2 linked regions of the Caenorhabditis elegans genome follow. The protein of the gene in region 2 interacts with the protein of the main gene of each other region in a pairwise test. Each region holds a gene or a part of one and is shown on either strand. Other genes may lie near its edges.

The links. Proteins that work in one complex are often made in the same cells at the same time.
Region 1: the proteins of vps-39 (region 2) and xpo-1 interact in a two-hybrid assay, tested with the Caenorhabditis elegans proteins (one large-scale study listed by BioGRID).

Annotation. Positions count from the first base shown.
Region 1 is NC_003283.11:7,802,910-7,806,663, reverse strand, and holds the start of xpo-1 (Importin N-terminal domain-containing protein), read right to left. Parts: upstream 1,601-3,754; 5' UTR 1,373-1,600; intron 1,322-1,372; 5' UTR 1,303-1,321; coding exon 782-1,302; intron 731-781; coding exon 1-730. Other genes in the region: uvs-1 (UV-stimulated scaffold protein A homolog), read left to right, coding at 2,979-3,041, 3,086-3,208, 3,257-3,355, 3,405-3,677, 3,727-3,754.
Region 2 is NC_003283.11:14,036,703-14,040,456, forward strand, and holds the start of vps-39 (Vacuolar protein sorting-associated protein 39 homolog), read right to left. Parts: upstream 1,671-3,754; 5' UTR 1,648-1,670; coding exon 1,575-1,647; intron 1,528-1,574; coding exon 1,462-1,527; intron 1,412-1,461; coding exon 1,203-1,411; intron 1,155-1,202; coding exon 1,012-1,154; intron 968-1,011; coding exon 675-967; intron 623-674; coding exon 254-622; intron 210-253; coding exon 1-209. UniProt on the Caenorhabditis elegans protein: Plays a role in vesicle-mediated protein trafficking to lysosomal compartments including the endocytic membrane transport and autophagic pathways.

The sequences.
Region 1 (3,754 bases), 6.2 Mb from region 2:
TTGACGACGTGGATGCTCACGAACCTGACTCATCATTCCGTAAAGAGTACTTGGCTGAATGAATGGACATATACGGTAGAGCTCAGCAGTCAACCAGCACCAACAATCGAGGCAAACTTTGAAAACCTCCATTTCTTCGATCAAAGTGATTTTCAAAAGAAGTTGAATAGCATAGTCGTGAGATTCTCGCATTAAAATTTTAGCCTCAGTTAATGGCTCATCAGTTACTTCAATCAGATGAACGTGCTCTTTGATGAACGCGACAAGAAATTGAGCCAGACTACTGATGAGTTTCTGATCCTGATCGGAAGCATCTTTGTAGACAGCAGCCAGGTCGAGGTCCAAAGATAGAACTTGGCTAATGTGGCGCATTGTAGAGCAGAACATTTTGACAAGCTTTTCGTCGTAGCTGGGATCGTTGGTTTCAACTTGAATTTGTGAAATTTCCGTGAGACATTGAAGAGCGATGACACGATACACTTCAAGCGAAAGGAAGTTTTCAGACAGCAATTCCGTGATGTTTGTCTCGAAAACGTAGCCAACTGGAATCCAGGTGAGGAATCGTTGAAGAGTCTTCAAGGTAGCTTGAACCATAGAGTTGGATGGACATTTCTCGAGAATGCTGACACACAGTGTGAATACTTCTTGGAACTGTCCACAGAATTGTTGTTTCAGATGTTGTTCCTTGGCTTGGGTGAGGTTTTGGGATCCGAAATCAAATACTTCTTCGCTGAAAAATATAATAAATGTAGCAAAACATTTTAAAACTAATTCAAAATACCTCAACAAGCTCAGAATATTCATATTGTTGATGCAAACGGTCTCGTTGTTCTTCGATGAATCAACAATATCGGTGATGAATGTTGGCCATGCCTTTGGCCAATCTTGTTTGACAATTTGAACCAAAACGAGGTTCAACTTGTGAAGAAGCAGTTGACTTTGTTCCATGACACTCTGATCAGAAGACAATTCGAACATTTTGGTGATGATGTACGACTTGATTCCTTCACGTTGGACTTGTGGCAACGACTTCCATTTGTGTTGGATGACAGTCTCAAGGATTTGAAGTGCAAAATACTTGGACTCATTTAGCTGCGAATATTGAAGAATCGCATCGACTTTGGTCCACGAATCGCGTTCTTCCTTGAGCGACATGAGGATTTGGTTAGCCTCGGCCTGTTCTTTTCCGCTCATTCGATTCATAATCTCGACGACTTGATCCAAAAGAGTCACATCGATACGGTCACCTTGGGCGAATTGACGCTTCGCTTCAGAGAGCACTTCCATTGCTGAGACAGCCATGTTTTTTTATTGTCGGTTTCTGAAATTGATAGCATTTATTGACCAACACTATAAATATAAAATAACTTACCAGCGATCAAATTTCGCAAAAATCGGCAGTAGTTTCCAGTTCAGTCTCACACACTCACGCACACACAAAACTGGCGGGGTTCAGGCTCTCGCTTTTCGGGCAGAAATCCTGTGTTTCTCACAGTGAAGCTGGAAAATTAGGCCAAAATATCGTTTCACTCGCACACACACTCTCACGCTCTCTCACACAACCGACTGTTGACGATGGGACGATCGATCTAGCCCAGTTCTGAAAATAAGAAAATTATTTTTAAATTTGCAAACCAAAAGGTGTAGAAAATATATGTCAAGAGAGGGAAAAAATATTGACCTAAAGTTTGACAGAAATAAATTCAGAAACGGAAATTGGAGATGGGAGAAGACGAGAGATATTTCTTTCATCATCGTCACTTTTGACAGTCAAATGTTTCGAAATTACTGGATTGATAAGGATCTATTCAAGACTAGGAAGTGAGAAATGCTGAATGCAAAAGTTCGGCCAAACAAATCTCACTGCGAAAAATATTGTGTGCGACCTTGCTGAATTGGGACAGAGCGCGCGATGTTATTGTAAGCAACGGTAAAAAATCGATTGAGGACACCTCGATGAGTGCACCCGTCCCGCTTTGTCTTGTCACGTGATGTGCATGACTTGCGCCCTCTCTTTACGTTCGGAAAACATTGAAAACAAAGCGTAGGAGCTATTGAGGAGGGGTCATGTGATTTTTTTTCGCATGTTTACTTGTTTGCAGATACATGAAGACAGGAGAAGAAATTGAGAAACGGAAGGACCATTCTGAATATTTTTGGCCGAGACGCGCGTCGAAAATGTCGAAATGAGAAAGATTGAATGAAAATAGAAGCAACAAAATCGCCGCACGTGACACACTACACACCTATTATTTGCTATGAGAACGGAAAAAAAACAGCGGTGAAGCAGATTTTACGTGTGAGAGACAAAAAACGGAAGAAGTGGGAGAAATCGTCGGATTCATGCTCAGCGGCCATCCCAGTTTTTATCACAAGACACGCGCCGGCGCGCGCGGGGAAAGTCTCCTCGCGGCCTTTCCTGTTCGAATTCATCGCAGACGCAAAAGAGTACGATGGAGCGCATTTGACAAAAACTTTCGCGGCTGTTGGGTACTCGCGGACCTGATATTTCTGTGTTTGGTGAGAACGGAAACAACGAGTAAAATGTATTTTACTTACTTTTCGAAAGTAGATATTCACAAAAATAAAATGTGCTGTTAAATTTTTAAGTACATCTTAACGAATTATTTCGAAAATAATTTGATTGCGAAATTAAATTCATGTTTATACGCTGTTGTTTTCATCGTTCTTGTGATTTTCAGAAGAAAAATGAAGCCAAACTTGAGAACAAAGCAAGAAAAAATGTTGATAATTTTCGCTAAATAAAATTATTTCCCTTGAAATAAAAATTGGCGTCTAAACTTATCGGGAAACAAATAAAATGTTGAAAAGAAGGCAACCAAAAGTGAGGAATATTTGAAAAAAACAACCGTATCACCTATTTCGCTTCGAGACCTGTGAACGGTTTTCTTTGCATGCGCCTTTAAGATTATGATAGAAAACATTATTTTTGTTTTTGTTTTCAGTACTGCAGTTTTATGGATTCAATTGACAACTCCACAACAATAATAAGGAAGAATTTGAACCGATTCATACGAGAAGTGAGTTTTGGAACTAAAAAACAAAATTATGCGAAAGTTTTCAGCTGACAGATGATGGAAAGTTGGACTTTGAATCAATACCATATCAAAATTTGCAAAAAGAAGTGGCAAATCAGGACGAAGAAGGCTGCGAGAATGTGATAGAAGTATTGCTGGATACTACAAGCGTAAGATTCAAGATTAACATTAGAATTAATTAATTAAAACATTTTAAGAGATCAGGATGTCCCGATAGGAAACTAATTCTGCAACTGTTCAATAGCTTCTTCTTACAATTTCCAATATTTCGGGAAAATCTACTCAATGATCCATCAGTGAGTTTTGTGAAAGCTTAAATTAAACTAAAAAATTAAATTTCTCTAGGAATTTCTCGAATTAATGTTCGAAACAAACCCAATTCGTAACCCACTCCCTGGTTCGAAAAAACATGGAAATGAGCTGAAAGTCGAAGCGATAACAGTGATTAAAAGCTGGGAAAAGGAGAAGTGTGTGAAGAACGATGCAAGAATGAAATGTTTGGTGGTGACGTTGAAGAAGACAAAATTTGTAGACTATGAAAATGGAGCTAAGAAAATTGAAGCGGAAAGAAAACGAAAAAAGATTTTGGAAGAAAGAAAAATGAAAATGATTGAGAATGTAGGTTGGATATTTAACACATATTTAAAGAAATGTTAAAACTTTCCAGTCAGTCAACGTCTATTCTTCAAAATACC
Region 2 (3,754 bases):
CTTTGCCGCTCCCGATGAGTACAAACGATTGTATAATTCAATATGCTTCGCGTGTTCAGTTCGAATTTCAGATAGATAACTACCGAGAGCCAAAAGAGCACGCATTCTGTCGTTAGCAGGCATATCACTGACAACTCCGGTCATTGATTGAAATCCATCTGGAAGAAGCTCGGGAAACATTCGAATAATTGAGAGCACTTCTGAAATATCTCAAAAAAAATTTTAATTTTCTTATGTGAAATGAAGCACTAACCGGTTTTAATTTCTCCAAATAATGCGAATGACTCGTCAAACTTCTTCTGATTGAATAAATTCAATGCAGCCTTCTTTTTAATTTCTAATTTCTGTTCTTCTGCAAATAAATTCGAATTTTCAGCCAATTGAATTGCTAGCTCGAAATGACGTTCCTGTATCAAATGAGACACGTTTTTTCGAAGATTTTGTGAAGTATCAAGAATCCAAATATCGGAAAGAGCAGCGACGAACACTTGTCCACGAGCACCACTGCAGAGTGTCATAGCCTTCGGGAGGGACATTGTCTGTACAAGTTGACCATCGAAAATTGAACGAACTTCGACGCGGCCTTTTGAGAGCATTCCAACCAAGTAAGGTGAATCGTATACTGGAAATTTATAGGTAACTAATTAAATAATTTAATTCCACAATAAAGTTACCGATTTGCATGGGAACTTCGCTGAACTTGTACTCGTCACTTAATACATTTGCCGGACGTTGTCCCCAAATATCAGTGGTTACAACTATTTCATTCCTCACAAATGCAACTCTTCTTCGATCGATCATTGGCACAATGCCAGGCTGACAGTTGAAATTTAAAAGACGAGTTACAAAACCATTCCATCCTTCCGGAGTTGAACCTTCACTTGGCGAAGTGGTTGTCTTATCTTTTTGCATTGTCATAGAAAAATACTCGTTTCGAACAGAAAAGAATACCATTTCACCAACGCATCTGTAATTTATTCTATCTTTAATTTGTTTCATAAACTTTTGTACCTTATAGATGTTGGAGTATCCAAGAAAACTGGATTATAATCCAATGCAACTTCTATAAATTCTTTGTGGCCATCTTTCTCTCCCCATTTGAATAAATATAACTTCTTTCGTGACGAAACAATTACGTACAGGTCTCCAGATGTCTGAAAACAAAAATATTGAATAGAAAATTCGGAAAGTTTCCAATGAACCTTGGGTGAAAATCTTGCAAAAGTCTGAACAGGCTTCACTTTGTGAATTAATGTTTCAACTTTATACTCTGGATCGCTGAGCTTGTGAGCCATCAATTGACCGTCGGACACGCACAAAAGGAGATCTTCACGTTGGCAAACTTTCAGTTCCATTACTGCTTTCTTGTGAAAGCTTTTGCAGATATTTGTGAGCTCGAATCCACGACGATCTGTAATTTATCAATATTTAGAAATAGATTTCTTGACGATTAAATATTACTAGCTGAAATTGTGTATGCATAGAGATGTCCTGCTCTTCCACCGGCTAACAAGGTTTGATTCGATTCTGAAAGCAATCATGATTGTAAATTCCAGTGATTTGATATTGAAAACCTTGAAATGCAAGACATGTTACTTCTACGGGTAATCGGAGAGCTACTTCGCAAGGCGTGTATGCATCGTACATTTTGCTTTGGTGGGTCGAAGTACCTGAAATGAAATTAAAACTGAAAATTATGACAGTAATATAGAGAAGAATAAATTTTCGCAAATAAATAATGCCGAATAATCAAAACAATTATTTGTGTCTCGAAAAAACAGACTTCAAATTATCGTTCCCGAAGAGGGGGTACGCTTTCGTAAGGGGATTTTTTCGTAAGGAACGCTTTCAGTAGGGCAATGTGCGGCGCGCCTTTTCGCAAGCCCGCCGCACAGTCCTTCGCAATCGATTCGAAATCGATTGAAACCCGTTTTTGTCATCGAAAATTCTGAAAATATCCGTATTTAGCTCGAATAAAACTAATTAATTTCCATTAAAAATCCGTTTTTAATTGAATTCCGTTCGAAATTTCCTGTTGGAAAAATAAATAAATAAATACGAAGAAGCGTGCGGCGCATTGCAAAAAGCCGTGCGGCGCATTGCGAAGGACTGTGCGGCGGGCTTGCGAAAAGGCGCGCCGCACATTGCCCTACTGAAAGCGTTCCTTACGAAAAAATCCCCTTACGAAAACGTACCCCCTCTTCCCGAAGTGCTCGACGAGTAAACGCGCTCCATTGAACACTTTTTTCGCGCGCATTCAAATTTAGTTTTTTCATGCCTCCAATATTTTTGTATGGAAAATTGATCGTTTCGCACTGAATTTGTAAATTTTGGAAGAAAATTTTTAACCAAAAATGCTGAAAAAAAAAATTAAAATTAAATTCTTGAAAAAAAATAAATTTTTTTCACATTCCAAAAATCACAGATAAGACTACAAAATATCATGAGGGCCACTCCTCGGAAAAAGCTGGGAAAAAAGACAATATTCAAGTCGACTTGGAAACATTCGTAGCCTGTTTTTTTTCAGGAATCGAAAATCAGCAGAACTCTACACATCATCAGTGCATTGAGAAGACAATATAATACGTTTATAAATTGGAAAATTTATTATTAATATTATTCACTTTATTATAATTAAACTTAAAAAAAATAAATATTAACAAAGTTATTAAGAGAGCGGACGCATTTTGTGCAGTGGAGGTGGGTCGCCCTTTTCTGCAAAATCCAGGAGTTCGAGACGAAGAAGTGGATGAAGAAGGCGGTGGAGGTGGACTATCTGAAAATTTTCCAATTTAAAAACCTAGGGGAGACTGAATTTTCGGACTTTTACATAAATCTGACTGACCAAGAGAAAAAAATCCGATTTTTGTAGGAAATCCAGGAGTTCGAGATGAAGAAGTTGATGAAGATGTTGGTGGTGATGAAATATCTGAAATGTTTTAATTTAAAAACCTAGGGAAGGCTGACTTTTCGGATTTTTACATAAATCTGACTGACCAAGAAAAAAAAATAGGGGTTTTGGCAGATCCAGGAGCTGGAGACGAAGAAGCTGATGAAGATGGTGGACGTGGTGGACGATCTGAAATGTTTCAATTTAAAAACCTAGGAAAGACTGAATTTTCGGAATTATACATCAATTAAACTGACATAGAGAAAAAATCCGATTTTTGTAGAAAATCCCGTCGTTCCAGGCGAAGAAGTGGATGAAGGTGTTGGTGGTGATGGAATATCTGAAATGTTTCAATTTAAAAACCTAGGAAAGACTGACTTTTCGGAATTATACATCAATTAAACTGACATAGAGAAAAAATCCGATTTTTGTAGAAAATCCCGTCGTTCCAGGCGAAGAAGTGGATGAAGGTATTGGTGGTGATGGAATATCTGAAATGTTTCAATTTAAAAACCTAGGAAAGACTGACTTTTCGGAATTATACATCAATTAAACTGACATAGAGAAAAAATCCGATTTTTGTAGAAAATCCCGTCGTTCCAGGCGAAGAAGTGGATGAAGGTGTTGGTGGTGATGGAATATCTGAAATGCCCCTCTACTGAACCGTCAATTCTTTCAAACAGCAATGTCTACAATCAGAAGCCAGCGAATCGTGATCTATATTCCTCGGTGATGAAGAAGAACCCTGTGCTGAAGAAAGTTGTCGAATCGATTAATCTGGTATCTACTGCTCATTCCTTTGAGAAGAAATCGAATCTAGCTGTTCTGGAAAACCTGCCCGATGCGAAAAACCCGGATCAAGTT